Linked DNA regions of Rattus norvegicus. The protein of the gene in region 7 purifies or fractionates together with the protein of the main gene of each other region. This does not show direct contact. Links are inferred from orthologs where the notes say so. Each region holds a gene or a part of one and is shown on either strand. Other genes may lie near its edges. The genes, in order: Myh9, Hnrnpu, Dhx9, Rbm15, Lmna, Specc1l and Ddx39b.

Region 1 (3,500 bases), on a different chromosome or scaffold from region 7:
AGAACTTTAGAAGCGGGGCCATGGCGCAGGGAATAGAGACCCTTCTTTCCCTCTGCTTCCTTGGCACAAAGAAGTGAGTAGCTCTGCTCTACCACACTCAGTGGTGGCATTCCGCCTCAACAGGGGCCAGTGACCGCAGGCCCAATCTCTTCATCCCCCTTAAGTTACTTATCCTAGGTCCACTGTCACAGCAACAGGGCCCCAGGGTGGGATTATGGCTCAGTCTCCCCGCTGACTACTGCTCTCCCACTGGACTGCAAGTGTTTTCTAAGCTGCAAAACCAGCCAGCCTGCTAGTGTCCAATAGGGGCAGCACTGAGAGCAGCTGGGATTGACGGGTAAGACTGACACCTACCTGAGACTGCATAGTCTCCATCTCTGTCAGCCTGTTCTCTGCAGCCAGATGCTTCTCTCGAACTTTTGTCAGTTCCGCCTCCTTGGCTAAAAGCTCATCCTCATGCCTTATTGAGTTCAGCAGGGGCTTGACCTGGGAGAGAAGACAGGGGCAGAGTTAAGGCCAGCTGCTCACCCCTAGAAGCCTCTGGAATGTAAGCTCCAGAGGTGAGCAGCAACCAGACCTGCTCTCTGGGGAGAGGGTACAAGTAGGTGCAACCTTCCTAGAAGTCAGACTGTACAACATGTTACATGTACATAAAGACGTCCATGACACACTGTCTATAGGCCCAAGACTTAGGAATGACCCGTCCATCCTCTAGGCAACAGCTCCTAAAAACTGATGCTGATGGGAATTCTAAATACAAAGTGCAAAAGACAAGACTATGTACACAAGTCAGCGCTTGGCTACGTAAAAATGCAGTTTCCATAGCTGAGACTTACTGCACATGAGAATACAGAAACATCATGGCGTTGGCTCAGAGTGAAGGGCCCATGATTGAGGTTCTATGACCTTTCTATGTTTTTGGCATTTAGCATACGTTATACATTATAAACTAAAATTGACAGAACAAGTTGCAAAGGAACTTTTTTTGCAACAGGGTCTCTGGGTAGTCCTAGCTGGCCTAATTCACTACGTAGACACAGATATCCACCTGCCTCTGCCTCCTGAGGGCTGAAATTAAGGCATATGCCACCATGCCCAGCTTGCAAAAGGCATTTTAAAGACACAAGGTATACAGGAGAAGTTCTCAGCAGCTAGCTGCCATGGGGTACCACAAGAGGCTAGTCTCTGCCACAGGGCCCATGTGTAGGAAAGGCAAGCCCTCGCCCACAGGAGCTGCTCTGGTTTTGCCCAGCCCGGACACTGCCATCCACAGCAAACAGGCGGAGCTGCTGGCAGGCACTCCCAGCACCAGGTTAGGCTCACACCACTGAGCACTGTGGAGCTACAGGAAAGGCTTGTGATGTGAGCAAGCACCACGAGCAGAGGAGGCTGAGCGGCCTGTGGAGAGCCCACCTTGGTGAAGAGCCTCCACCACTGCCAGTTGCGGAGTCTGAGGTATGCAGCACAGTTCCTCTGTAGGACCTTCATGGCAGTCAGCTGCTGCTGCCTCTTGGCAAAGGCCCTGGAGATGAAGAGCTCAGTCAGCAACTCAGGGATGAGGGAAGCACACACCAACAACCCTGACTCACGAAACACTGAACACACAATGAACGACAAGGGCTCAGGTCATTCAGCCACTGCCCTCCACTGAGGTGCTCTCAGGCATAAAGGACTTACGAGAACCAGTGACAAGACTCCCACTCGGTGCAAGATCCAACTGTGACCTTACAACCTTATGACCTTATGACCTTAGTCATGATCCATCTGTGCCCAGGGCACTTGGGCTTGACTATCCAGCCCTGCTGCCTCCCCGCCTGAGCTGCTGCTGGTGCACAGCACTGGCAGCCGGTGTGCTACAAAGGTGGGTGTAAGGCGTGGGCGCCCAACACAAGCTCTTGCTCATTTTTAGGCTCAAAGCTCACACTGGGACTGTCCTGGAGCATGTCTGCCTGCTGCGGCAGGGGAATCTGAGCGTGGTGAGCTCAGGATGCCTCCATGGAGTATGACAGGCACAGACAGGCCTGGTGCCATCCCCACATGGTGAAAAGTCTGGATTAAATAAGCAGACACCTGGGACAGTCAAAGCTCATTTGGCTGACTCCCAGACACCCCTCTAGACAGGCCTTCAACTCCCAGAGGCCTTCAACCACAGCTGACCATACTGTCCTCAGAGCAGGAACATGTGAGAGGTGTGGGTTAAGGGTCCCTGCCACTTACTTCCTGGCCAGGTAGCCTCTGCAGCAGGCCTGGAAGCCAATGATGACATCAGTGATCTTCAGGTCCCGCTCTTCCTCCAGGTGAGCTAGGACTCCGGCCCGGAAGAACACTTTGCTCTGGCCGATGCGGTACAGGTTGCTGTCAAGCTCCAAGGCTTTGATCTAGAGAGAGCAAAGCAGACCACTCTGTGCCACTCTGCACAGCGGGAGAAAAGGCCAGGACTTGCCTCAGCCCAGTCATCCAGGGGTTCAGGAGGGGCTGCACCTCCTGCAGGAGCCTTCTGCCCCAGGACCAGAGGGCATGGGTTCAGGAGCACTAAGAGAAGGAGTAACACAGAGCAAGGTGACAAACCAGACTGTCAAAGAAACACAGGGCTCTTCAGAGACCTCGTCTACCTCCTGCCTCTGCACCTGGAGTCATACTCCACAAATGCTCAACCTGGAAGCCTCCACCTGAAGTTCACTGGTACCAAGGGCCTTCAAGGGCTTCAGGACCCAGCACCACCTGGAGACCCTGGCTTGTCTCCTCTCTTGAGGCCATGTCTCTCAACTATATGGGGGTGATGCTTCAGTTTAAAAAGAAAAATAGACACAAAGCAAATGACACTGTCTTTCCCAGCAGGGCCACGAGCCCTACCCAAGAGAATGTCAGAAGACTCAGCACAGGGCCAAAGCACCAGTGAGCTCCAAGCAAGTTTTAGTCATCATGACAAACTTGGGTAACTCCAGCCAGGGCAGCAGCTTGCTCAGAAAGCCCGAGTGGCAGGGTGTTCTCTGCTGTCAACTGACTGGATTTAAAAATCAGTCAGGAGACATGCCTCGGGAAGTCTCCAGAGTTTCCCCAAGGAGGGATAGGTGTCACCATGCTATAGACTAGAGTCCTGAACTGGATAAACTGGGCAAAAGGAGAAGGCAGTTGAGTGCCACTCATTTCTCCTGCCCATGCAGACGCCACGGGAGCAGCTGCCTCCCTGTCTTCCCACCACACCCTCATGTCCCTCATGATAAGACTCTACCCTCGAAATGGGAGTCCAAACAATCCCTCTCTTCCCTGAAGTTGCCTTTTGTCAAGTACATGGTCCCACAATGAGAAAGTAACTAACACAAGTAGATATGTGTGCCAGCCAGCCAGCCTGTCTGACTGTCTGGGAGGGATTTAGAATAAGCTCCCACTGGCACTGTCAATGAGTAGTCTATGTGCATTCTGGAAGACCAGACCAGTCTGTCAAGAACTCCTGGTAGAAAGTCAGGAAAGTAGGAATGGGTATGGGCCTGTCTCCTGCC
Region 2 (3,145 bases), on a different chromosome or scaffold from region 7:
TGCAGGCTTCCAACGAAAAGCCGTGGTCGTTTGCCCAAAAGACGAAGACTATAAGCAGAGGACACAGAAGAAAGCGGAAGTAGAGGGGAAAGACCTACCAGAGCATGCTGTCCTCAAGATGAAAGGCACGAGATTCATTTCATTTTTACTGTCTTTTAAGTCTGGTTTGGTGATTTATACCTAGAAAATGACTTAGCCACTTTAGGGATTATACTATACTAATCTGGTAAATTAAGCTCTGTGTATGGTTTTTTTATTCTGCAAAGAATGTGACAAAGCCATGACCAGATACTGTGATAGTGAAAAAATTCAACATATTCAGAGATAATTAAAGATTGTAAAATTTACATGTTTATAAATTTACATGTTTAATTTGACTTTATTCACTGTAGGAAACTTCACCCTTCCAGAGGTTGCAGAGTGTTTTGATGAAATAACCTATGTTGAACTTCAGAAGGAGGAAGCCCAGAAGCTTTTGGAGCAATATAAAGAAGAAAGCAAAAAGGCACTGCCACCAGAAAAAAAGCAAAACACTGGCTCAAAGAAAAGCAATAAAAATAAGAGTGGCAAGAACCAGTTCAACAGAGGTGGTGGCCATAGAGGACGTGGAGGATTCAATATGCGTGGTGGCAATTTCAGAGGGGGAGGCAAGTTTGTTTATTTTGCCTGTTGTATTTGAAATGTGAAAATGAGCTGAGTTTTTTTTTTTAAGTTAAATAGGCATAGGTGTCTTAGATAATGATGCTGCTATGTTTAATACACAGTGAAGAAGTATATTAGGTATACTTAAAACTGGGCATTGCTTTTTTTTTATTAATGGTAAGATATGACTTATGACATTAGTATGTGACAGGACTAAACTGAACCCTTCTTGCATTTAGCTCCTGGGAATCGTGGTGGATATAATAGGAGAGGCAACATGCCCCAGAGAGGTGGTGGCGGCGGAAGTGGTGGAATTGGCTATCCATACCCGCGTGGCCCTGTCTTTCCTGGCCGAGGTGGTTACTCAAACAGAGGAAATTACAACAGAGGTGGAATGCCCAACAGAGGGAACTATAACCAGGTATTGACTATAGTTTGCCCTGAAATGTAGATGAATGGATATTGGGAGTCTTAACTGGAGGTGTTGACATAGCTATGAAGCAGTTTATTGGACTTTGCTTTTCAGGTCACTAATTAGTAACATCAGTGAGCTTGGGGTAAAAGGGTTTTTCTACATGCCTTCTCTAACACAGCCAACCATTTCTTCAGAGTTCTTACAGATGCTTTGTTTTTAATTTTCCATAGAACTTCAGAGGACGAGGAAATAATCGTGGCTACAAAAATCAATCTCAGGGCTACAACCAGTGGCAGCAGGGTGTAAGTAGTTTCTTAAATGATTATACACATTATATATAGTGTTATGTTTACAAACTCAGTTGGAAGTTCTTAACCTAGGGATTGAAGATACATATTAATAGGACAAGGTTTCTATAAATTGTTACTGTGTTACTATAACCATGAATAGGCTGGATTTTAACAGTTTTTAGATAAAGTAATTTAATACATATGGTCGTTTACTACTACATGGTCATTTTTAATAGTTTTAATTACATAAACTAACCCCAAGTCTTGTGTTTCCTTTTGTAATGTGTATTGGTAAATAGTATGGGTAATTGGTAAATTAAAATTAAGTCTCTGATGTAGAAATTAAGTGTCATAAATTTGTTTCCAGCAATTACTCTGAATTAGATCATTGTCATTTCCTAAAAACAATTTGAGTGGCTTATTGATGTTTTTTTCTTTAAAAACAACATTTTCTCTTACAGCAATTCTGGGGTCAGAAGCCATGGAGTCAGCATTATCACCAAGGATATTATTGAATACCCAAATAAAACGAACTGATACATATTTCTCCAAAACCTTCACAAGAAGTCGACTGTTTTCTTTAGTAGGCTAACTTTTTAAACATTCCACAAGAGGAAGTGCCTGCGGGTTCCTTTTTTAGAAGCTTTGTGGGTTGATTTTTTTTTCTTTTCTTTTTTGTACATTTTTAATTGCAGTTTTAAAGTGAATCGTAAGAGAACCTCAGCATTGTGCACGATAAGAGAATGTGTCAGTATTTCAGGGTTCTACATTTTATCTGTAAAATGTGACTTTTTTTTTTTATCACAACAAAAGTAAAATGTTGCTTTGTACCTGGTGTCTTTTATTAAGCATTTACTCCCCCATTTCTCACAGAGAATAACAGTCGGGAGTCATTGTCACAATGAAATAGCAATGTCAGCAACCAGATTCATGGAAGGACTGAGGGTCCTCATGAATGGCATTAAGATTCTGTACTGCTCATAATACACTCCATCCTCTCTAGATGGCCGGGCAATAGTGGAGGGGTAATCTCTGACAAAAAAAAAAGGGAAGGCTATTTTTTTTCTGCTTAACAATGGAATTGGCATAATTGGGATTGAAGATAAAATTTGGAACCAAGACTGAGAAGATGGAGTGTATGTAGAAGGGCTGTTTAAAAATGTAAACTTGGTTGCATTATATGTGGAGGCTCAAACTTGTGAAGGTTAAATACCACAAAATTTTCCATTTGTTCTGCATTTTGATTCTGAAAAGAAAGCTGGCTTTGCCCATTTTCTTATTAAAAAACTTGTTGTAAATCCAGTTGTCTAATGGGATCTATATGAAGTTAGCTATGTCTGTATGCCCTTCTCCCACAAAATACTGTATTACTAGTGTGCTTGTAGTAGTTAACTCCACCATCTTTGTAAGCTAATGAAATTGTGAGTCACCCATTTATATCTTAATTTTTAATCATGTCAGTTCTTGAATGGGTATCTCCTTAGCCTGCTGATTTCTTTTTCTTTCTAAAGAAAGTGGGTGGAGAAATTAATTTAGACGTTTGTTTGCAATAAAAAGAATTCATTTTACTCTCGTTTGGGATTCTCGCCATCAAGGTCTAAATCCCTTTATACTACAACTCCCAAGAGGAGAAATTTTAAGTGTGTGCTTTCTGGACAGCTTATTCTTTACTCTGTACTTTTCGAACATTTAGGTTTTAAAAACTTAAATGTATACTGATGATTTTATAATATAAAGTTGAATTCTTCCCCTCCCCTCCCCTCCCCAGACTGCTTTTAACATTTATGAGGGGCAAAGG
Region 3 (3,117 bases), on a different chromosome or scaffold from region 7:
AAACACCTTTGGGATACAAGTTAGTGGTAAAGAATTGGTCAAGTAGTTCTCTCCCCAAATACTGAGTCATACATTATAGAGCTCACCTACCTTTGTTCATTGCTTAAATAAAAAATATATTGCCGACCCTCTCACCCACCCAACCCACAGAAATGAATTTGTAATAGAAAATGCTTCCCTTAGTCTTTTGTTTTCAAAACAAATATTTCAGCTAAGGTCAAATGTTTCAGAGTTAGAAAAATGGTTATAACACACCTTAATCCTACCACTTGGGAGAAGGCAAGTGAGTTTCTGAGGGTGAGGCAAACCTGCTAGTTCCTTACCGAGACCCTAACATTAAAGATGGGAGGGATATGGGCTCAACTCTTTTTTTGGTTCTTTTTTTCGGAGCTGGGGACAGAACCCAGGGCCTTGCGCTTCCTAGGTAAGCGCTCTACCACTGAGCTAAATCCCCAGCCCCTGGGCTCAACTCTTATTCTGTAAAAAATACCATTACACAATCAATTTTCAGTATACTTTATTTTCTATTAAATGAAAACCAAGAAAATGTCAAGTTAAGTTAAAAGGCTTTACCCTTTCAAGAAAAAAATACAAACTGTATGGTGTGATACTTGTATAACAGGTCATATTTTACATTACACAATATAAACAAAATCACTAATCTACAATTATTTGAAACTACACATGAACTACAGATTAAGTGGGAAATGGGTTTACTTTTTTGGTGCAAATAAACATCTTGGAAAAACATACAGCATGCATTTTTTAACTGTATGCATAAGCTCTGACAGTCCATTCTTAATAGCCGCCACCACCACCACCACCACCTCCTCTTCCTTGTCCAAAATAACCACCTCCATAACCCCTTCGCTGGAATCCTCCAGATCCTCTATAGCCCCCACCAGATCCCCGGTAGTCTCCACTAGATCCTCTGTAGTCTCCACCGAAGTTGTTTCTGTAGCCTCCTTGGGAACCTCCTCTATAACCTCCCCCACCTCCACCATAATTTCCTCGGTAAGAGTTGGGGCTCATATTATAACCTTCCCCACCTCCGTAACCCCCTCCACCACCTCCATATCCTCCACTGCCTCCTCCATACCCACCACTACCGCCACCACCTCCATAGCCACCACCTCCAACACCATAGCCTCCCCCACCACTTCCAAAACCTCCACTACCCCCAAAGCCACCACCGCCGCCGCCTCCTCGGCCACCACCAAATCCACCCCCACCACCTCCCCCACTGAAGCCTCCTCCCCCACCACCAAATCCACCTCCGCCACTGCCAAAGCCACCCCCACCACTACCAAAGCCTCCTCCCCCACCACTGTTAAAGCCTCCTCCAAAGCCTCCCCCACCACCACTTCCAAAGCCGCCTCCAAAGCCTCCACTACCATATCCACCACCGTATCCACCACCACCATATCCTCCTCCTCCATATCCCCTTCTATATCCACTTCCATTATCGTATCGGGCCATCTTGGGAGGCCTCGGACCATCGCCATACCTAGGAAAAACAACAAATCACTTTAGCTATACTCTGCACACACTAAACTAAGAATCACAGTAAATAAACTTTAACCAAATAATGAGACCTGTATGGTATAAACAGCACTGTTAATATTTTTCCACAGGCCTTGAAGTTTCTCTTAATTCATAGTATTTTTAATCAAGTATTTCCCTGTACAAATTTAAAAAATGTCTTGGTGGAAACTCCTCAGAAAATATATACACTCACAACTCCCCTACCTTCATGTCTTTGATATTCATGTTAAAGAAGACAAAAATAATGTGAATCAACAGTTCAGTTATACTAAAATTAAAAGCAAAAAACATGATAAAGACTCAAAGGACTTTTTGTTTATTTGTATATTATTATAATCCTGAAGCCATAGGGCTGGAGAGATGGCTCAGTGGTTAACAGCACGAACTGATGATCTTCCAGAGGTCCTGAGTTCAATTTCCAGCAACGACATAGTAGCTCACAACCATCTGTAATGGGATCTGATGCCCTCTTCTAGTGTGTCTGGGAGCTACAATACTCATATAAATAAATCTTTAAATAAAATTACAGAAGAAAAAAATTCTGAAGCCATGCTTAGGAGAATGATTTCTTAATGAGTGTATTCATAACTTCATGAATGATTAAAAGTTAAATAACTCAAAACTGGTAAACATAAGGAAGGAACATACGCATACACCGTTAACATTCCTTTCTTATGAATGCAGATAGGTGAACACTAAAGAAAAATTTCTTATTTCTTAAAGACAGCCTAGGGGGCTACAGAGATGGCTGGGGACTGGAGAGATGGCTCAGCGGTTAAGAGCACTGACTGCTCTTCCAGAGGTCCTGAGTTCAAATCCCAGCAACCACATGGTGGCTCACAACCATCTGTAATGAGATCTGGTGCCCTCTTCTGACCTGCAAGTCACATAAGCAGGCAGAATGCTGTACATAAAATAAATAAATAAGACAGTCTAAAATAAATTGATCTTTCTATTTGAGGAAGGAATTAATACTTTATCTGAGACTGAGACTACAACAGTGTGGAGGAAAAGGTTTCATCAAGATTACATCATTTTCAACTTTTAATATGGTCTACCTGTCAGGACTTTATTTTTATATGGCAATGGGTACATCAATTAACAGGAAAAAAGGAAATCTTTTGTTCTGAGTCAAACTCCCACATTTAGTGTTAAATAATTTTAACCCGAAGGACTCTACCAACTAGCTTTAATAATTATAGGTCTGTAAAAGCTACAGACACATAAATTAGGTAACTCACCTTACACTCCCAATCATAAGGTTGATACCAGCAGCTGAGGGCCTAGAAATCTGACGGATGGTGTTTAGCATATGCTCATTGACAGGGTCCAACTGGCTGATAATGTTTGGTTGTTTGGATACTTCAACAACCAGAGCTTCCATGGCTGCCCGGAGGGCTGTGATGCATGCTGCAGCTTCATGTGATATTTGCAGTCTGATCCTAAAATGAAGGAAAAGCAAGGCATAAAACTGGAAACATACACAGAGAGGTGAGTGTAGTCAAATGTCCTCCCAGTGCCAAAAACTTAACTTTATTACAATTAGACATGCCCCAAACCCAGGTGAATGTA
Region 4 (4,197 bases), on a different chromosome or scaffold from region 7:
AAGAATATTTTTCCACTAAGAATTGAACCTAGAGCTTCACTTAGGTGCCCAAGGTTCCTGAACTGTGTCTCCAGACTTCTTTTGTGTGGGGTTGGTTTTAAGACAGAATCTCACCAACTTATCAAGTTACTCAGGCTAATGAAGAATTTATGATCCTTACCCTCAAGAGTAGCTGGGATATAGGTGCTCCAAAAGCCACACAACAGCAACTTTTAATACAAGTATGTCTATGCTTTATAGTATTTTGGGGTTTATAATTTACCTATCAGGCTTCTTTCAAATCTTTTTGATGTAATCAAGAGATTTTGGACCAAGTATTCACCAATTTCAAGATTATATACTAACAAAACAAATCGGCTGAAATAGGGCTAATCAGGTTGCTGTATCTAGTCTTCAAATAGCTTTTAAATTTAGAATTAAGGGTTTTTTTTGGGGGGGGCATTCTTATCACCTTGTAAAATGTCCTGTTTTAAAACACATTCTCAACTCAGTCTTAAAAGATGGGAATACCAGAATCTTTCTAATGTCTTCAAGGTACATATTTGGGGAGACTGCAAAAAAGCCTATTTCGCGGTTGGGGATTTAGCTCAGTGGTAGAGCGCTTGCCTAGCATGCGCCAGGCCCTGGGTTCGGTCCCCAGCTCCGAAAAAAGAAAAAAAAAAAAAAAAAAAAGCCTATTTCCCCTCACCAGGAGGTAAGCACCAGTGGTATAGACTATCCATCTTTTTTTTTTTTTTTTCTTTTTTTCGGAGCTGGGGACCGAACTCAGGGCCTGGCGCTTGCTAGGCAAGCGCTCTACCACTGAGCTAAATCCCCAACCCCTACCCATCTAATCTTATGATCACCAGTATTACACAAGCTTACGAGACTCCTTACAGATGCATGGGGTCACCGAAGTTGGTGGCGGGGAGACGTTTAGATTTGAATCAGGGTTAAAGGAGTCAAAGGAGGGGGATCTAGGAGGGGACAAGGTGGCCATGTTACTGGATCCTAATATGGATTAATCGGAGTGCTGAGGTCCAAGAAACGAGATAAATGTAGTACCCGCACAGTGAGAAGCGTTACATATTAAAGCTAAGCACAGCTACCTTTCACAAATCTTTTATGAATGCAAATCCTACACATTTTCACAACATAAATCAGGAAGCAAAAAAGGCCTGCAAGTGGTCCTGCAGGTCAGACCAGTCGGTAGGCCCGGAAGCCCGGAGTGTAGGTCACTGCCGGGCCCAAGGCGGCCAGGGCTGCGCTCTGTTTCCTATGTCCGCGGGCGGGCTGTGACTCGGTACCGCCCAGGGCGTCAGCGTGACCCGAGGCTCAGTGAACCCTGAACTCACCGCCCCAGCCAGCCGCACAGACCGGGGCAGGCGCTTTCTCGCGCACGGGGGTGGGGCTTTTTCAGGCTGCTAACTAAGATGGTGTCGGCTGGACTTCCCGGGACAGCTGCCTAAGCGGATCGAGGGCCAGCAGCCGGAAGGACCACCGAGCCCATTGTCCCGCCCAGACAGGACAGTGCGGAGCCCGCAAGTTCCAGACTCGAAGGACCGAAGCACAGGCAAGTACGCCGTAGGACCTAACAAATGTTTAAGAGAACGCCGAAAGCGCGGGGAGGCGGGCCTGACTCACTGTCACCGTCTCGCGACAGCTAAGTGACGTCGCACAGCAAGCGCGTGGTAGAGTCTTTCACCTTCAGACTCCTCAGTTTATGGGCCTACTCCTTTAAGTGAGTGATGGACAGCGCTTTTATCCAATCATTTTCCTCGTCAACATCCAATCAGATTTAAACTTTATTCAGCCGCCGGAGAAGTTGGAAGACTGGGGTTGAAAGAGAGCGAGCGAGTGAGCGAGCGAGCTCTTTGTCTCTCGCGAGATCCGAGAGAGCCAAGTTCTCAGGGAAAAACGCCTGAACTGATGTCCAGACTTCCCAAGTAGTGATTTAAAGGACGTGGCCATAAACCAATGAAAGGGAAGAGAAGGTGGGATCGCTGCTTTCGCCGTGCTAGAAGTACCGTTACAGGGCAGACTTTTTGTCCAATCAACGCTTCTAGGCTTTGGGTCAGGTGACCATGAAGTGCGAGGGGCGGAGCTACAGCCTGGCGCGAGGAACCGTTAAGATAGACAACGAATATAACCAATGAGGTACTGCGATTAGGGCGTTGGGAACCCAATAACAGCGTCGGGGCGGGCGCCTTCCCGGAGCGCGGGGAGATGTAAAGACGGACAAATAGTTTTTCCAATGAGAAAGCTGAAGAGTGAATTAATTGACCAATGAGGTCTGCGGGGCGGGAGCCTTTGCCGCGGCGGAGTCCAAGATGGCGGCGTGCGAGTCCGCTGTGTGAAACGAGCGCGGGGTGGCGGGTTAGTCAGCTCCGCAGAGACGACCTCCGGCGACCCTCAACAATGAAAGGAAAGGAGCGCTCGCCAGTCAAGCCCAAACGCTCCCGTGGCGGTGAGGACTCCAGTTCTCGTGGGGAACGGAGCAAGAAGTTAGGGGGCTCTGGCGGCAGCAATGGGAGCAGCAGCGGGAAGACGGACAGCGGCGGGTCGCGGCGGAGCCTTCATCTGGACAAGTCCAGCAGCCGAGGCGGCAGCCGCGAGTATGATACCGGTGGGGGCAGCTCCAGTAGCCGCTTGCATAGTTACAGCTCCCCAAGCACCAAAAATTCCTCAGGCGGGGGCGAGTCGCGCAGCAGCTCCCGGGGTGGAGGCGGGGAGTCACGTTCCTCTGGGGCCGCCTCCTCAGCGCCTGGCGGCGGGGACGGCGTGGAGTACAAGACCCTGAAGATAAGCGAATTGGGGTCCCAGCTGAGTGACGAAGCGGTGGAGGACGGACTGTTTCACGAGTTCAAACGCTTCGGTGATGTAAGTGTCAAAATCAGTCATCTCTCAGGTTCTGGCAGCGGGGATGAGCGGGTAGCCTTTGTGAACTTCCGGAGGCCAGAGGACGCGAGGGCGGCCAAGCATGCCAGAGGCCGCCTGGTGCTCTATGACCGGCCTCTGAAGATAGAAGCCGTGTATGTGAGCCGGCGCCGCAGCCGCTCCCCGTTAGACAAAGATACTTACGCCCCGTCGTCCAGCGTGGTCGGAAGCTCTGTAGGTAGCCACAGGCACGCCCCTGGAGGAGGTGGAGGTCAGAGATCGCTTTCTCCTGGCGGTGCTGCTTTGGGATACAGAGACTACCGGTTGCAGCAGTTGGCTCTTGGCCGCCTGCCTCCTCCACCCCCGCCACCATTGCCCCGAGAGCTGGAAAGAGAACGAGACTATCCGTTCTATGACAGAGTGCGGCCAGCATATAGTCTTGAGCCGAGGGTGGGAGCTGGAGCAGGTGCTGCTCCATTCCGAGAAGTGGATGAGATATCACCTGAGGATGATCAGCGTGCCAACCGGACACTTTTCTTGGGCAACTTAGATATCACTGTGACAGAAAATGATCTGAGAAGGGCTTTTGATCGTTTTGGAGTCATCACAGAAGTGGACATTAAGAGGCCTTCTCGTGGCCAGACCAGTACTTACGGCTTTCTCAAATTTGAGAACCTAGACATGTCTCACAGGGCCAAAATAGCAATGTCTGGCAAAATTATAATTCGGAATCCAATCAAGATTGGTTATGGGAAAGCCACACCCACTACCCGACTTTGGGTGGGTGGTCTGGGACCTTGGGTGCCTCTTGCTGCCCTGGCACGAGAATTTGATCGATTTGGCACCATTCGAACCATAGACTACCGAAAAGGTGACAGTTGGGCATATATACAGTATGAAAGCTTGGATGCAGCTCATGCTGCCTGGACCCATATGCGTGGATTCCCACTTGGTGGCCCAGATCGTCGCCTTAGGGTAGACTTTGCAGACACAGAACATCGTTACCAGCAGCAGTATCTTCAGCCTCTGCCCTTAACCCATTATGAACTAGTGACAGATACTTTTGGACATCGAGCACCTGACCCTTTGAGGAGTGCTCGGGACCGGACACCACCCTTACTATACAGAGATCGTGATAGGGACCTTTATCCCGATTCTGATTGGGTGCCACCCCCGCCACCGGTTCGGGAACGCAGTGCTCGGGCTGCAACTAGTGCCGTCACTGCTTATGAGCCACTGGATAGCTTGGATCGAAGGAGGGATGGCTGGTCACTGGACAGGGACAGAGGTGACCGGGATTTGCCTAGCAGCAGGGACCAGCCAAGGAAGCGAAGGCTGCCT
Region 5 (4,032 bases), on a different chromosome or scaffold from region 7:
GTCTGAGTCATCCATGCAGCTGTCTAGCTTGGACTTGAGCTTACCCATAAGCCTGGGGTGAGCCTTCCCTCACTTCCAACTGTCCCCTTCTCCCAGCTTAGATATCTAAACCTCTGGAGGAGAGGGAGGAAGAGGGAAGGAGAGAGTTGTTTTGTTCCCCCTCTCCCCTGCCTCCTCCTTGGAACTTACAACCCAGTTTGAAGAGCCTTGTGGGTGCAGTTGAGAGATCCAAGTTGAACTGTGCTAAAGATTGTCACCGGTCTCATAGTTATGCCTAACTCCAAGCCTGACCCTGAACTCTGAGCTGGAATTAAACATTAAATTGGTCACTTTTCCCCACCCCCAGCCCTGGTGGGAGGGCCCGGACAATGCCTTTCATCCTCCCCAAACTTCACTCAGGCCATTTCTCCACCTCAGTCTGAGCTCACCAGCCATACAAAGGGCAGAGCCATGAGTCTTCTGCAATGGACATAGAAGGACAGACATCCATCTAAGCTCACTTCGCCTCCACTTCACCCCACCAGCAAGGACCTAGGTGTGTATACTCACCCCAACCCCCTTCCTGGAAGCCCAGCCTCCTCGGGTAGGCTCAGTTGAGAATAGAGGCAGGTGGCTAAATATAAAAAGTCCACACATCGCCCGGCCCCTACCCCATGTGTGTACACACCACCTGGTGTCCCAGGCCTGGACAGCTGCACTGGGGGCAGAAGACACAGAGTGGCTCAGCTAGATGAACAAAAGCTCTATCTTCCACTCCCCCTGTCCCCAGATCTACTAGACAAGTTCTGCACCAGGATCTGCAAGAGCTTTGGTGGTTGACTTAAACTAGTTTAACTATAGCTTAACTAACTAGTTAACTCACTGGGACTCCTCTAACTTGCCTCATGTATTTCTTGATAAGGTATTCATATCCCTAATAGAGAAAAGACAGGTAATTCCTATTAGCTGAGAGAAAGGCTGGACCCATCTGTGCACATGACCTCCGCTCATACTTGAGAAAATGAGCTTGCCACCACCTATGGCTGGGATCTGGTAAGGAACAGAATGACCAACCACTGATAGTCAGTGGGCTCTGTCAGAAGATAATGCAAAAGGAAAAAGAGGAAGAGAAGTCTAAGCTACCAGAGCCTTAGGTATCTGCACGCATGGCCAACGCTCTTTGGCTTGGTCTACAGCATAGAAGAAAAGATCCCAGACACAGAGCCTGTGGGAGTCCCGGGAGCCAGGGCCCACACTCCCAGGCTTTGGAAAGTCCTTTTAGAAAGAAGGTGGAGTCGAGTAGGGTGGGGCAGGGTGGGGCAGGGATGGGTGAGGTGGGAGTGGCCTGAAGCTCTCTAACGGCTGGATTTCAAAAATGTCATTGTATTCCAGCAGTTTAATAAGATCAAGACATCAACAGCTTGGAGGATGGGCCAGAGTAAAGTCTGGCTTGGCTAGGAAACCGGAAGTGGCTTATTGGCTGAGGGAGGAAAGGACAGAGCTTCCAAACCTTTAAGTCACCAAACAGAGAGGGCCAGGGTTGGGGAGCCCCAGACCCAGGCATAACAGATTTTCCAGGGCCATTAGCTTCTGTGCCCAGTTTCCCTCCCCACACTCTCTTGCATTCCTAGTCGAGGCAGGCCAAGGGCTGTGGGATCTGCGGGGGAGCTTCCTCCTGTGCTTCTGGAGGGCAGAGTCTAGGAAAGGTCCCAGACATTCCCAGCTCCTAGAACCAGGAGAAGGCCTTGCGTACACAGCCATGGGAGAAAGGGGCTACGCAGCCTTGGTGACCCCTCTACAATACCACCGGACAAATGTCTGTGTGAGAGATATGTTTTAGTGGACATCATGTGTTCAGAGTCACGTTGGGCAAAATTGGCAGAGTGCCAAATCCACCAAGAAAGTTCTAATAAAACCCTTTCACCCATTCTGCTGTGTTCCGGGCCTCATTCGGGAGTTCCAAGACCTGGTAAAGCCTGTTCTGCCTTCCTCCAGCCCATCCCCCAGGCTCCAAATGGCTATAAGATCCCACCTTGACAGAGTGAGGCCCTGTAACCAAGGCTACTTGGTCTCCATGCCCCACCATTCTTTATATCCCCCCACCCTCTCACAGAGACCCTCTCCCTGCTGTGTCCTGTCATGACTATTACCCTTGGCACTGCCAGTCACCCGCGGGAGGCAGTTCCGGGGAGGGAGGGGACTAGATGGCCAGTTATGGAAGACTGCTGCTTCCCTGGTGCTGGCCGGCCAGGCCTCACTCACCGCGCCTTCAGCTCCTTGAACTCCTCACGCACTTTGCTCAGCTCCAACTGGAGGCGGGCGCGCTCCTTGGCCACAGAGTCGAGGGTCTTGCGGGCATCCCCCAGCTCGGCCTCGTAGGCCGCCTTGATGCCGGACACCTCTCGGCTGACCACCTCTTCAGACTCAGTGATGCGAAGGCGCAGCCCCGCGTTCTCCGTCTCCAGGGAGCGCACGCGATCGATGTACACGGCCAGACGGTCATTGAGCTCCTGCAGGTCCTCCTTCTCCTGCAGCCGTGTGATCCGAGTGGGCGACAGCGGGGTAGAGCTGGCCTGCGCCCCACTGCGGGTGGCGCGCCGCTGAGACGGGGTCTCCATGGCCGGCAGGGTGGCAGTGCTGCCCGCTGGGCAGGGGTCCCGAGAAGGGCGCGGGACTCGGACAGAAGGACAGAGGCTGCTCGGGGGACAGCGAGCCGGCGAAGCTCGCTCCTGGCAGGCGTGGAGATCTGGGCTGGGCGCTGGCGCACCTCGGGATCTGGGTTGGCTGGTGTTGAGGCTGAGGCAGCGTTCCCGCGAACACTGAGTCACTGACAGCCGGGCAGAGACTCTAATAGGCCCTCCTCCACAGGGGGTGGATCCACTGCTCTTAAAGGAGCCATCCTAGACCCAAAGGGGCGGAGGCAGGTATGGTGAGGAGGAGCCAGCATGCTAACCCTCAGTCTGCAGAACACCCCTTTCTGGCCTGGGGCTTCACAATGTTGGTTCCTGCCTACTCAACTCCAAGCTTTGGCCTTCTGGGGTAAAGGGCAGAGTAAAGGAATGAGAGTGGGTGGGCGAAGGGTAGTGGCGAGGGACCAGGGGAAGTAGGTGCAAAGTGAGGGAGAGAGCTAGGCATCCCCAGGGAGCCAAGGAAGCTGGGGGAGGGCTGAGGCTGCTGCCCATCAGTGACTCACCCACTTCCACCACTGGCTCCCCTTTCCTCAGTAGTAACAGTGAGTCACCTCTCCCCCACGCACAGGAGCGGCCTATCCAGGGCTGCATTTCAGTATGCCAGGAGTGGGATGGCAAAGGAACGTCTGGGTTTTTAGGTAACTAACATATTACTTTATGCCCTCAAGTTTGGGGCAAAGATCAAGGGCCTTTTTTTTTTTTTTTTTAAACCTATGCACTTCCCTTATATTTCTGGCTTTAAAACCAAACATTGGGTTTTAGATCTAAGGAATAAGCCTCAGTCCCCAAGAGAAAGCCAAGAATAGAAGCCAGAAGCTGGCCCCTCCCAATCCCCCCTCCCCTTTCATTTGGACCCAGACAGTTGGAAATGGCTGTTATAATCCCTCCCTTTCAGCCCCTTTCTTCAGTTTACTCCACCCAGCCAAGTCCAAGACTGTACTTATTTTTTTCCAGGACTGTACTTATTTTAATGGATAATTTAAAACAGATACCAGAGCTGTGCGTGCATTCAACACATGGCTAGGACACCAGGTTCCAGATTTTTGTGACTGCAAGAAGGGCCTGAAAAGAGGAATGGGGTCGGAGGGTTATTAATGCAGGGTCTCCATCTGGGTTCCATTCCTAACAGTGGGAGCACGAAGAGCAAAGCCACCCCTCCTCAGCCACTGCATGCCTTTCTAGCCAGTTATGAGTGGGCCCTGACTAGACTATCTCCCAATACAGTAACCCTGGTCCCAGGTTCTTCAGCCTCCATCAAAGACTCTTGGTCAGCTGTCTAGTCCTCTCCTGTAACCCTAGCCTAAGCTGCACTGGCCCCATCATCCCCTCCTGCAATGGAGCCTTCCCTGCTCATTCCATGGAG
Region 6 (3,500 bases), about 9.8 Mb from region 7:
CACACATCAGTGAACGCAGTCAGCTACCTGTTAGCAGTACTGTGACAACTAAGAGCAAGGGGCCGGGAAGGGTCTCATAATGGAGAGGATCACTCTGACAACAGCACAGCGCACGACGCTCTCTCGTCGATTTTAATAGAGTGTGTGTGTGTGTGTGGAGGGGGAGAGGCCCAGAGGCCAGAGAGAGCAACATGTTCCCTGGAACGGGATTACAGGTGGTCCTGAGCCACCTAACGAAAGAGTGCTAGAACTAAACTCAGATCTTTTGGAAGAGCAGGAAATACTCTTAACCACTTCCACCCGTCCGAGCCCAGGATGCTGAGTCTTTTGGTAGGCATCTCCTCGAAACATAAACACTAGTACACTTTTGGGATCCCACACAGCGATCCTTCAAGAACAGAATTTTAGGGCTTAAGGGCAGAGCACTGGCTTGGCAGATGTAAGGCCCTAGGTTCATCCCTAGCATGACGGACGGACGGACGGACGGACGGATGGATGGACGGATGGACAGATGGATAGATAGGTGGATGGATGGACGGACGGATGGATGGATAGATAGGTGGATGGATGGACAGACGGACAGATGGATGGATGGAATAGATGGATGGATGAATAGATGGATGGATGGATGGATGAATAGATGGATGGATGGATGGATGGATGGATGGATGGATGGATGGATGGATGGATGGATGGATGGGTGGATGGATGGATGGATGGATGGGTGGGTGGGTAGATGGATGGATGGATGGATGGATAGGTGGGTGGATGGGTAGGTGGGTGGATGGATGGATGGATGGATAGGTGGGTGGATGGATGAGTGGATAGATGGATGGATGGATAGGTGGGTGGATGGGTGGGTGGATGGATGTATGAGTGGACGGATGGATGGACGGACGCAACCAACTTCAGTACTCAGGGCAACTATCAAATGAGGTATTTCTGACAAGGTATTTACTTATGAATACAGATAAAAAAGTAACTCCAGCTTTATACCAGGGGGGTTTCATTAGGTCCCGTTCCAAGTTCAGCTTAAGGATGCCAATGACTAACACTTAGCAACACATTAGGACTAAGTCATAACAAAATAAAAGCCTTTCAAAGATATACTGCTTTTTTTTTCTATGCCTAATTAAACATTATTCAAAGTGAAAAAAAATCAAATTCTTAATAATAACATCAAACACATAAACTTGTTACCCCACTCTGAGTGTCACTGTGGAACTTGAAACATATCTCAGGTGTCACCTCCTGTGGCCATTTTTATGGATTTCCAATGGTCTCTGTGTTAGATGTAGAGGGTACTACTTTGGAGGACTTTGGAAAAAAAAATAGAAATTCCTCAAGTGACTGATGGAAATAAACTCACACTGTCCCAGTCACTGCTTTTCCCAAATTGGTAACTCGAGTTTACTGATCCCTCTGCAAACAGCAGCTCACGTACTCAGCACAGCACTATACAGTGGCTCACAGGGCCTTCCTGTTACAGCTCAGAGAACTGAGGCCCAGGGCACAGGGAAATTAAACTGTTAACTGAGAGCACACACCAAGAGGCAGGGCCAGACTGAAGCTGATTCAGTCTGCTTCCAGACCTGCAGTCTACAGATAAATAAGAGGGCTGCACTGTGAGCACCAGGACAAAGACCAGCACCAGTGCCACATCACTGTTCCTTACGGAAACACAACTGGCTTCTCAGAACTTACTTGCGTGACTTTATTTCCTCCAATTCTTTGGTGAGTTTCTCATTTTTCTCTTGGGCCTCATGTAGCCGCCGCTTTAGATCACCGATCTCCTCTTGGGCTTCAGACTTGATGTCATTTGCAATGACCACCGCAGTCTGGAGATCAGCCTGAAACTGCCGCCATTCTGCGGACTCTTCCTGCATTAGAAAGTAAACTCTCATTTCCAAAAGAAAGCGGTGAGGATTTACTTAAAAGCAGTAAAGTTTGTTTATGATTAGTTTGGCCTAACAAGACATACTCTTGAATGATGACTTTTTTTTAATTCCAAGAATTGCTGTTATCTATTTTTAAAACAAAGCAACTCTTATCAGTAAACTCGTTCCTAATGAAGGAAAGATTTGCCATCTGATCCCCTACCGAGGCATTAAGTATTCAGAGTGCTCAATAAATATTAATGAGAACAATGTTAGACCTCTCTTCCTCATGCAAGTTTCAAAGCAAGTGTTACGAAAATAAATATCATCAAAAATTTAGAGCTGTACCTCTGGAAGGTATATAAATGGTATGTGAACCATACAGTAAAAACTATAAATACCCTGACATCAAAAACTAGCAGGAAAAAAAAATCTAAAGTAAAGGAAAAGGAAGAGGAAGGCAGAAGAAAAACTGAACTTAGCGCAGGCAGACACAGTCACACGGAGACGTAAGGAACTCAGAGCTCCGCTGCTTCCCAGACAAGAAGGATGCGGGTGTGACTGGGCGGAGAAGTCTCCCCAGGGGCTTCGCTTCCCCCAGAGCCACAGCTGGGCCTTGCCTGAGCCATCCTCTCGTCCTCCAAGCAATTTTCTGGTACCATGAAAGTAGCTACAACAACTGGCTCAGGACTCAGGGTCTGTGATTAGCTGTCCCTGCACATCTTAGCAGCATGGGGGCTGGCAGCCAAGCCAACCCCGAGAACACAGAAAACTCACATACAAACAGCCTGGTCTGTGATTTTAAAATCAAGCCTTAATAAACTATTTTCAAACACATCTATCTATAAATAACTACCAGTATATTCTCCTACCTTAAATGCAGTGCCAGATCCAATTTAAAGTACGGGCACTTGCTTTCAGCCCAAATCCCAGTGTGGGCAACATCCCACCACATCTACAGGTTAAGGTACAGTGCACGTCAGAGAGTCACGTTTTCTAGTGAGGCAGCACATGAAGATTTACCCTACCCGAAGTCTCCTGTGAAGGGTCTTGTTTTCTCTTTCCAAGTCATGCTTTTGGTCTTGGAGTTTTTTAACTGTATCTGAAAAAACCACAAAGATTAAATATGGCTTCTTAAACTTAAAGTCCTTATGATCTTAAATGTTCAAAAGAAATGACATAAAAAGAGGTGTTAAAAATACGATCATCTAAATAGTTTTCCTGTGCCAAGGCTTGTTTACTTTCATCACAAAACTTAAAAGCATGAAAGAATATTCAATCCAAGGCTATAGTTTCTGCATCACTTCCTAAGCAAGCTGGAAGCAATTGTTAGAAACATACAGATTATTGGCACAAGGCCAATCAAAACAGCATTGACTGCTATTAAAATGTCAGCTTCTAATCACAGAAGTTATCTCTCCAAGCCATGCAAAGCATATTCCCTTGTCACACTGGAATAAATTCCAGAAACATGAAATCAGTCGAATTATTTCTAAAATTGTAGTATCCAGAGAGCTGCCAATTAATTTATGGAATAGTAGCACTAAATACAATAGGAAATCACATTCTCTGCTTGTAAGGAAGCTCACACAGGGAAATGCCTCGGGCGTGCACCACGTGTCA
Region 7 (2,951 bases):
GTCTGAGTAAGACCTGGGCTACCTGGGCTTCACCTATGACCTTCTGAACTTCAGAGCAAGTGAGAAAGGGGAGATAAGCCAGACCTCTACCAGGGCTTCCCAAGCTTCCCAAGGACCCCGGGCCTGCCCTGGCTGACACTCTCTGATCCCACCAAGGGACTGCAGACTCTTTACACAGCCTTGCTGGTGTGTGCGTGTGTGCCTGTGTTCACACACACCATTGTTCAGGTCCTCATACTAGGAACCCGGTGGGGGGAGATGAGGCCTGAGGATGTGGGGCTTGCTCTTTACCTCCCGATCCCCAGCAGTCCCCCAACTTCACCACCCACAGCCACTTTAGAAAGTGAGTGAAAACAGAAGAGAAGGCAGCTGGGGAGCCACAGCCTCTCACGTTTGGGCCTTACCTTGCTATGACCCTGCCCCACAACAGGGCTCTCAGAGTCAGAGTGACCCTGGCTCAAGTTCCACCCAAACAGAGCACTTACAGACACCACAGACAGTTGTTTCATTCTTAGTTTTGTTAAAAAACAAAAACAAACAAACAAACAAACAACTCTGATAAATCAGGACTAGGTTTAGGAGTGGTGGTGACGCAGAGAGGCATGGAGAGGGTGGGCTGAGGTGTCAGGGGTGGGGCAGTAGTGTTTCCTCCCTGACCCCTTCGTCCTCTTCTACAACAGACTGCCACGGTCCAGAATAGGTGATTCCTCTACCGTGTCTGTTCAACTGAAGAAAGAAAGTCAGTTACAACAAGGCACACAATGGGAACACACACACACACACACACACACACACACACACACACACACACCCACCCACCAAGCCGGCACTCACTGTAGGAGGAAATGTCGATCTCATCGGGCAGCTCACTGATGTTGACCTCGAAACGGTCCTGCACGTCATTCAGGATCTTGGCATCGTTCTCGTCTGACACAAATGTGATGGCCAAGCCCTTGGTGCCAAACCGGCCCGCTCTGGCCACCTGGAAGGAGAGGTGGAAAACTGCAAGCCTCATAGGGGAGACAGAGGGGAGAGGAAGGGGCACAGCGTGCGCACACAGGAAGTGGGGTAGGGTGGGCACTCACCCTGTGCAGGTAGGTGTCGGAGTCCTCTGGCATGTCATAGTTGAAAGCGATGTTCACGCGCTCAATGTCCATGCCACGGCCAAACAGGTTGGTAGCCACAAGTATCCTCCGCTGAAAATCCTTGAACTGCTGATACCGAGAGAGCCTTTGTGAGAGTAAATGAGAGGTTTGAGACGTCGCTTCCACACCGCTTCCTCCCCACACCAGTATACAGATGGAGGTGCCCGCCTGCCCGCCTCCAACCCACCTCTCCTCCTGGGGCATCCCGCGGTGGATAGCAATGGCTGGGAAGTTCTGCTCCACTAGAAGCTGGGCCAAGGCGATGCAGCGCTGCACGGACTTCACAAAGATCACAACCTAAGGAGCACAGGGGTGACGTATGTGCCAGCTTCCCACAATCCCCATGTGGTTTTGTAAGTTCAGGTGTGTGGGGTTTGCCTGCACACATGCTTGTGCTGTGTGCCCGGTGCCTGTGGAGACGGCAGAGGACACCTGACCCTCTCCCGCCAACTGTAATTACATGACTGGGAGCTGACGTGGGTATTGAGAATTGAACTTGGGAATCCCTGGAAGAACAAAAGTGTTCGTAACTTCTGAGCCACTTCCTCAGCCCAGAAACCTCACTTTTGAAGTTTTTTAAATGTATGCATGTGTGGTTTTGTGCATGTGTGTCAGGTGTATGCAGTGCACTCTCAAGACAGTGTGTTGAATTACCTGGGCCCAGTTACATGGATAGGTGCTGTGAACTCAATGTGCATCCTCTGGAACAGCAGAAAGTTTGAGACAGGGTTTCTCTATTAGCCCTAATTGTCCTGAAACACATTATGTAGACCAGGCTGGCCCCAAACCTGCACTTACCTATCTCTGTCTAATTCTTAGGATTAAAGATGTATGCTAACACATTGGCAGAATTTTGATTTGTTTTTCAAGGCAGCACTTGTAGTCTGTGTAGTCCTGGCTGTCCTCCAACTCGCTCCGTAGACTTAAAGAGCTGCCTGCCTCTGCCCCCTGAATGCCGGGTTTAAAGGAAGGCATGTGTTTCTAGAAGAGTTCCCCAAATCCCTCACTCCAACTCAAATCTCTCTACACAAATGGTTTTCTCTGCTCCTCAACCTGACTACATGTACATGTAGGCCTTAATTTCTAACATCCTGGCCTCTGAGCTGCACAGACATGAAACCTCAAAACACACATGGGTGAGTCCACCTCTAGAACATTCTAAGAACTAGTCTAACAAACCAAATGATTCTCTTCACACACACGGCCAGCCCAGCACAGGGCTGCCCTGCCAGGCTCTTAGGTGAGTGCCAGGTACCTGGGAATCTCTTGTACACTTTCTGAAGCCATCAGTACTCTACCTCAGCTCTCACCCAACTTCATCTTCCCATTCGGACTTGCTCCACCGCTCCACCTCTTCACCTCCACGGCCTGTCAATCACAGGCTACTTCTACACAGGCTTCTGCCACAGCTGGAGACGGGCAGTGCTCATGTCCACAGACCCTCGATACTGACCTGGTTGAACTCGAGGACATCGAGAAGGTCAAAGAGCTTCCGGTTCTTCTCGTTGTCCTTCAGTTTCACGTAGTATTGCTGCAACCCGTGCAGCGTCAACTTGGTCTCGTCATCCACGAAGATCTCCATAGGCTGAGGGGGAGGAGGGGTGGGGGCAGGAGGAGGGCAGAGTGGGGGGGTTAAACCTGGGGGGGTGGAGGACGCTGATCTCCAATACACCCCATAGAAAGATGGGGAGGAGAGAGAAGACTGAAAACCCCTCCCCACCACAAAGAACACTCTGTGCTGAGGTCTCTTTCCAGCTAGATCTGGTAGCATCCACATCAGCTGAATTTTAAGCCCAATCAACTTAA

The links.
Region 1: the proteins of Ddx39b (region 7) and Myh9 purify together in Homo sapiens (affinity purification with mass spectrometry, with the first as the bait; 4 studies listed by BioGRID). This does not show direct contact. The link is inferred for Rattus norvegicus from reciprocal best matches to the Homo sapiens genes DDX39B and MYH9.
Region 2: the proteins of Ddx39b (region 7) and Hnrnpu purify together in Homo sapiens (affinity purification with mass spectrometry, with the first as the bait; 3 studies listed by BioGRID). This does not show direct contact. The link is inferred for Rattus norvegicus from reciprocal best matches to the Homo sapiens genes DDX39B and HNRNPU.
Region 3: the proteins of Ddx39b (region 7) and Dhx9 purify together in Homo sapiens (affinity purification with mass spectrometry, with the first as the bait; 3 studies listed by BioGRID). This does not show direct contact. The link is inferred for Rattus norvegicus from reciprocal best matches to the Homo sapiens genes DDX39B and DHX9.
Region 4: the proteins of Ddx39b (region 7) and Rbm15 purify together in Homo sapiens (affinity purification with mass spectrometry; 3 studies listed by BioGRID and IntAct, with this or other methods). This does not show direct contact. The link is inferred for Rattus norvegicus from reciprocal best matches to the Homo sapiens genes DDX39B and RBM15.
Region 5: the proteins of Ddx39b (region 7) and Lmna purify together in Homo sapiens (affinity purification with mass spectrometry, with the first as the bait; 4 studies listed by BioGRID). This does not show direct contact. The link is inferred for Rattus norvegicus from reciprocal best matches to the Homo sapiens genes DDX39B and LMNA.
Region 6: the proteins of Ddx39b (region 7) and Specc1l purify together in Homo sapiens (affinity purification with mass spectrometry, with the first as the bait; 3 studies listed by BioGRID). This does not show direct contact. The link is inferred for Rattus norvegicus from reciprocal best matches to the Homo sapiens genes DDX39B and SPECC1L.

Annotation. Positions count from the first base shown.
Region 1 is NC_086025.1:111,238,964-111,242,463, forward strand, and holds part of Myh9 (myosin-9), read right to left. Parts: intron 2,379-3,500; coding exon 2,218-2,378; intron 1,523-2,217; coding exon 1,414-1,522; intron 487-1,413; coding exon 355-486; intron 1-354. UniProt on the Homo sapiens protein: Cellular myosin that appears to play a role in cytokinesis, cell shape, and specialized functions such as secretion and capping. Required for cortical actin clearance prior to oocyte exocytosis. Promotes cell motility in conjunction with S100A4.
Region 2 is NC_086031.1:92,609,291-92,612,435, reverse strand, and holds the end of Hnrnpu (heterogeneous nuclear ribonucleoprotein U), read left to right. Parts: coding exon 1-125; intron 126-392; coding exon 393-647; intron 648-881; coding exon 882-1,063; intron 1,064-1,287; coding exon 1,288-1,359; intron 1,360-1,808; coding exon 1,809-1,862; 3' UTR 1,863-2,645; downstream 2,646-3,145. UniProt on the Homo sapiens protein: DNA- and RNA-binding protein involved in several cellular processes such as nuclear chromatin organization, telomere-length regulation, transcription, mRNA alternative splicing and stability, Xist-mediated transcriptional silencing and mitotic cell progression.
Region 3 is NC_086031.1:68,152,313-68,155,429, forward strand, and holds the end of Dhx9 (ATP-dependent RNA helicase A), read right to left. Parts: intron 2,988-3,117; coding exon 2,787-2,987; intron 1,508-2,786; coding exon 799-1,507; 3' UTR 501-798; downstream 1-500. UniProt on the Homo sapiens protein: Multifunctional ATP-dependent nucleic acid helicase that unwinds DNA and RNA in a 3' to 5' direction and that plays important roles in many processes, such as DNA replication, transcriptional activation, post-transcriptional RNA regulation, mRNA translation and RNA-mediated gene silencing.
Region 4 is NC_086020.1:197,639,898-197,644,094, reverse strand, and holds the start of Rbm15 (RNA-binding protein 15), read left to right. Parts: upstream 1-1,397; 5' UTR 1,398-2,265; coding exon 2,266-4,197. UniProt on the Homo sapiens protein: RNA-binding protein that acts as a key regulator of N6-methyladenosine (m6A) methylation of RNAs, thereby regulating different processes, such as hematopoietic cell homeostasis, alternative splicing of mRNAs and X chromosome inactivation mediated by Xist RNA.
Region 5 is NC_086020.1:176,255,436-176,259,467, forward strand, and holds the start of Lmna (prelamin-A/C), read right to left. Parts: upstream 2,801-4,032; 5' UTR 2,598-2,800; coding exon 2,242-2,597; intron 1-2,241.
Region 6 is NC_086038.1:13,394,571-13,398,070, forward strand, and holds part of Specc1l (cytospin-A), read right to left. Parts: intron 2,980-3,500; coding exon 2,906-2,979; intron 1,881-2,905; coding exon 1,705-1,880; intron 1-1,704. UniProt on the Homo sapiens protein: Involved in cytokinesis and spindle organization. May play a role in actin cytoskeleton organization and microtubule stabilization and hence required for proper cell adhesion and migration.
Region 7 is NC_086038.1:3,576,701-3,579,651, forward strand, and holds the end of Ddx39b (spliceosome RNA helicase Ddx39b), read right to left. Parts: intron 2,731-2,951; coding exon 2,599-2,730; intron 1,443-2,598; coding exon 1,333-1,442; intron 1,231-1,332; coding exon 1,086-1,230; intron 983-1,085; coding exon 835-982; intron 727-834; coding exon 710-726; 3' UTR 501-709; downstream 1-500. UniProt on the Homo sapiens protein: Involved in nuclear export of spliced and unspliced mRNA. Component of the TREX complex which is thought to couple mRNA transcription, processing and nuclear export, and specifically associates with spliced mRNA and not with unspliced pre-mRNA.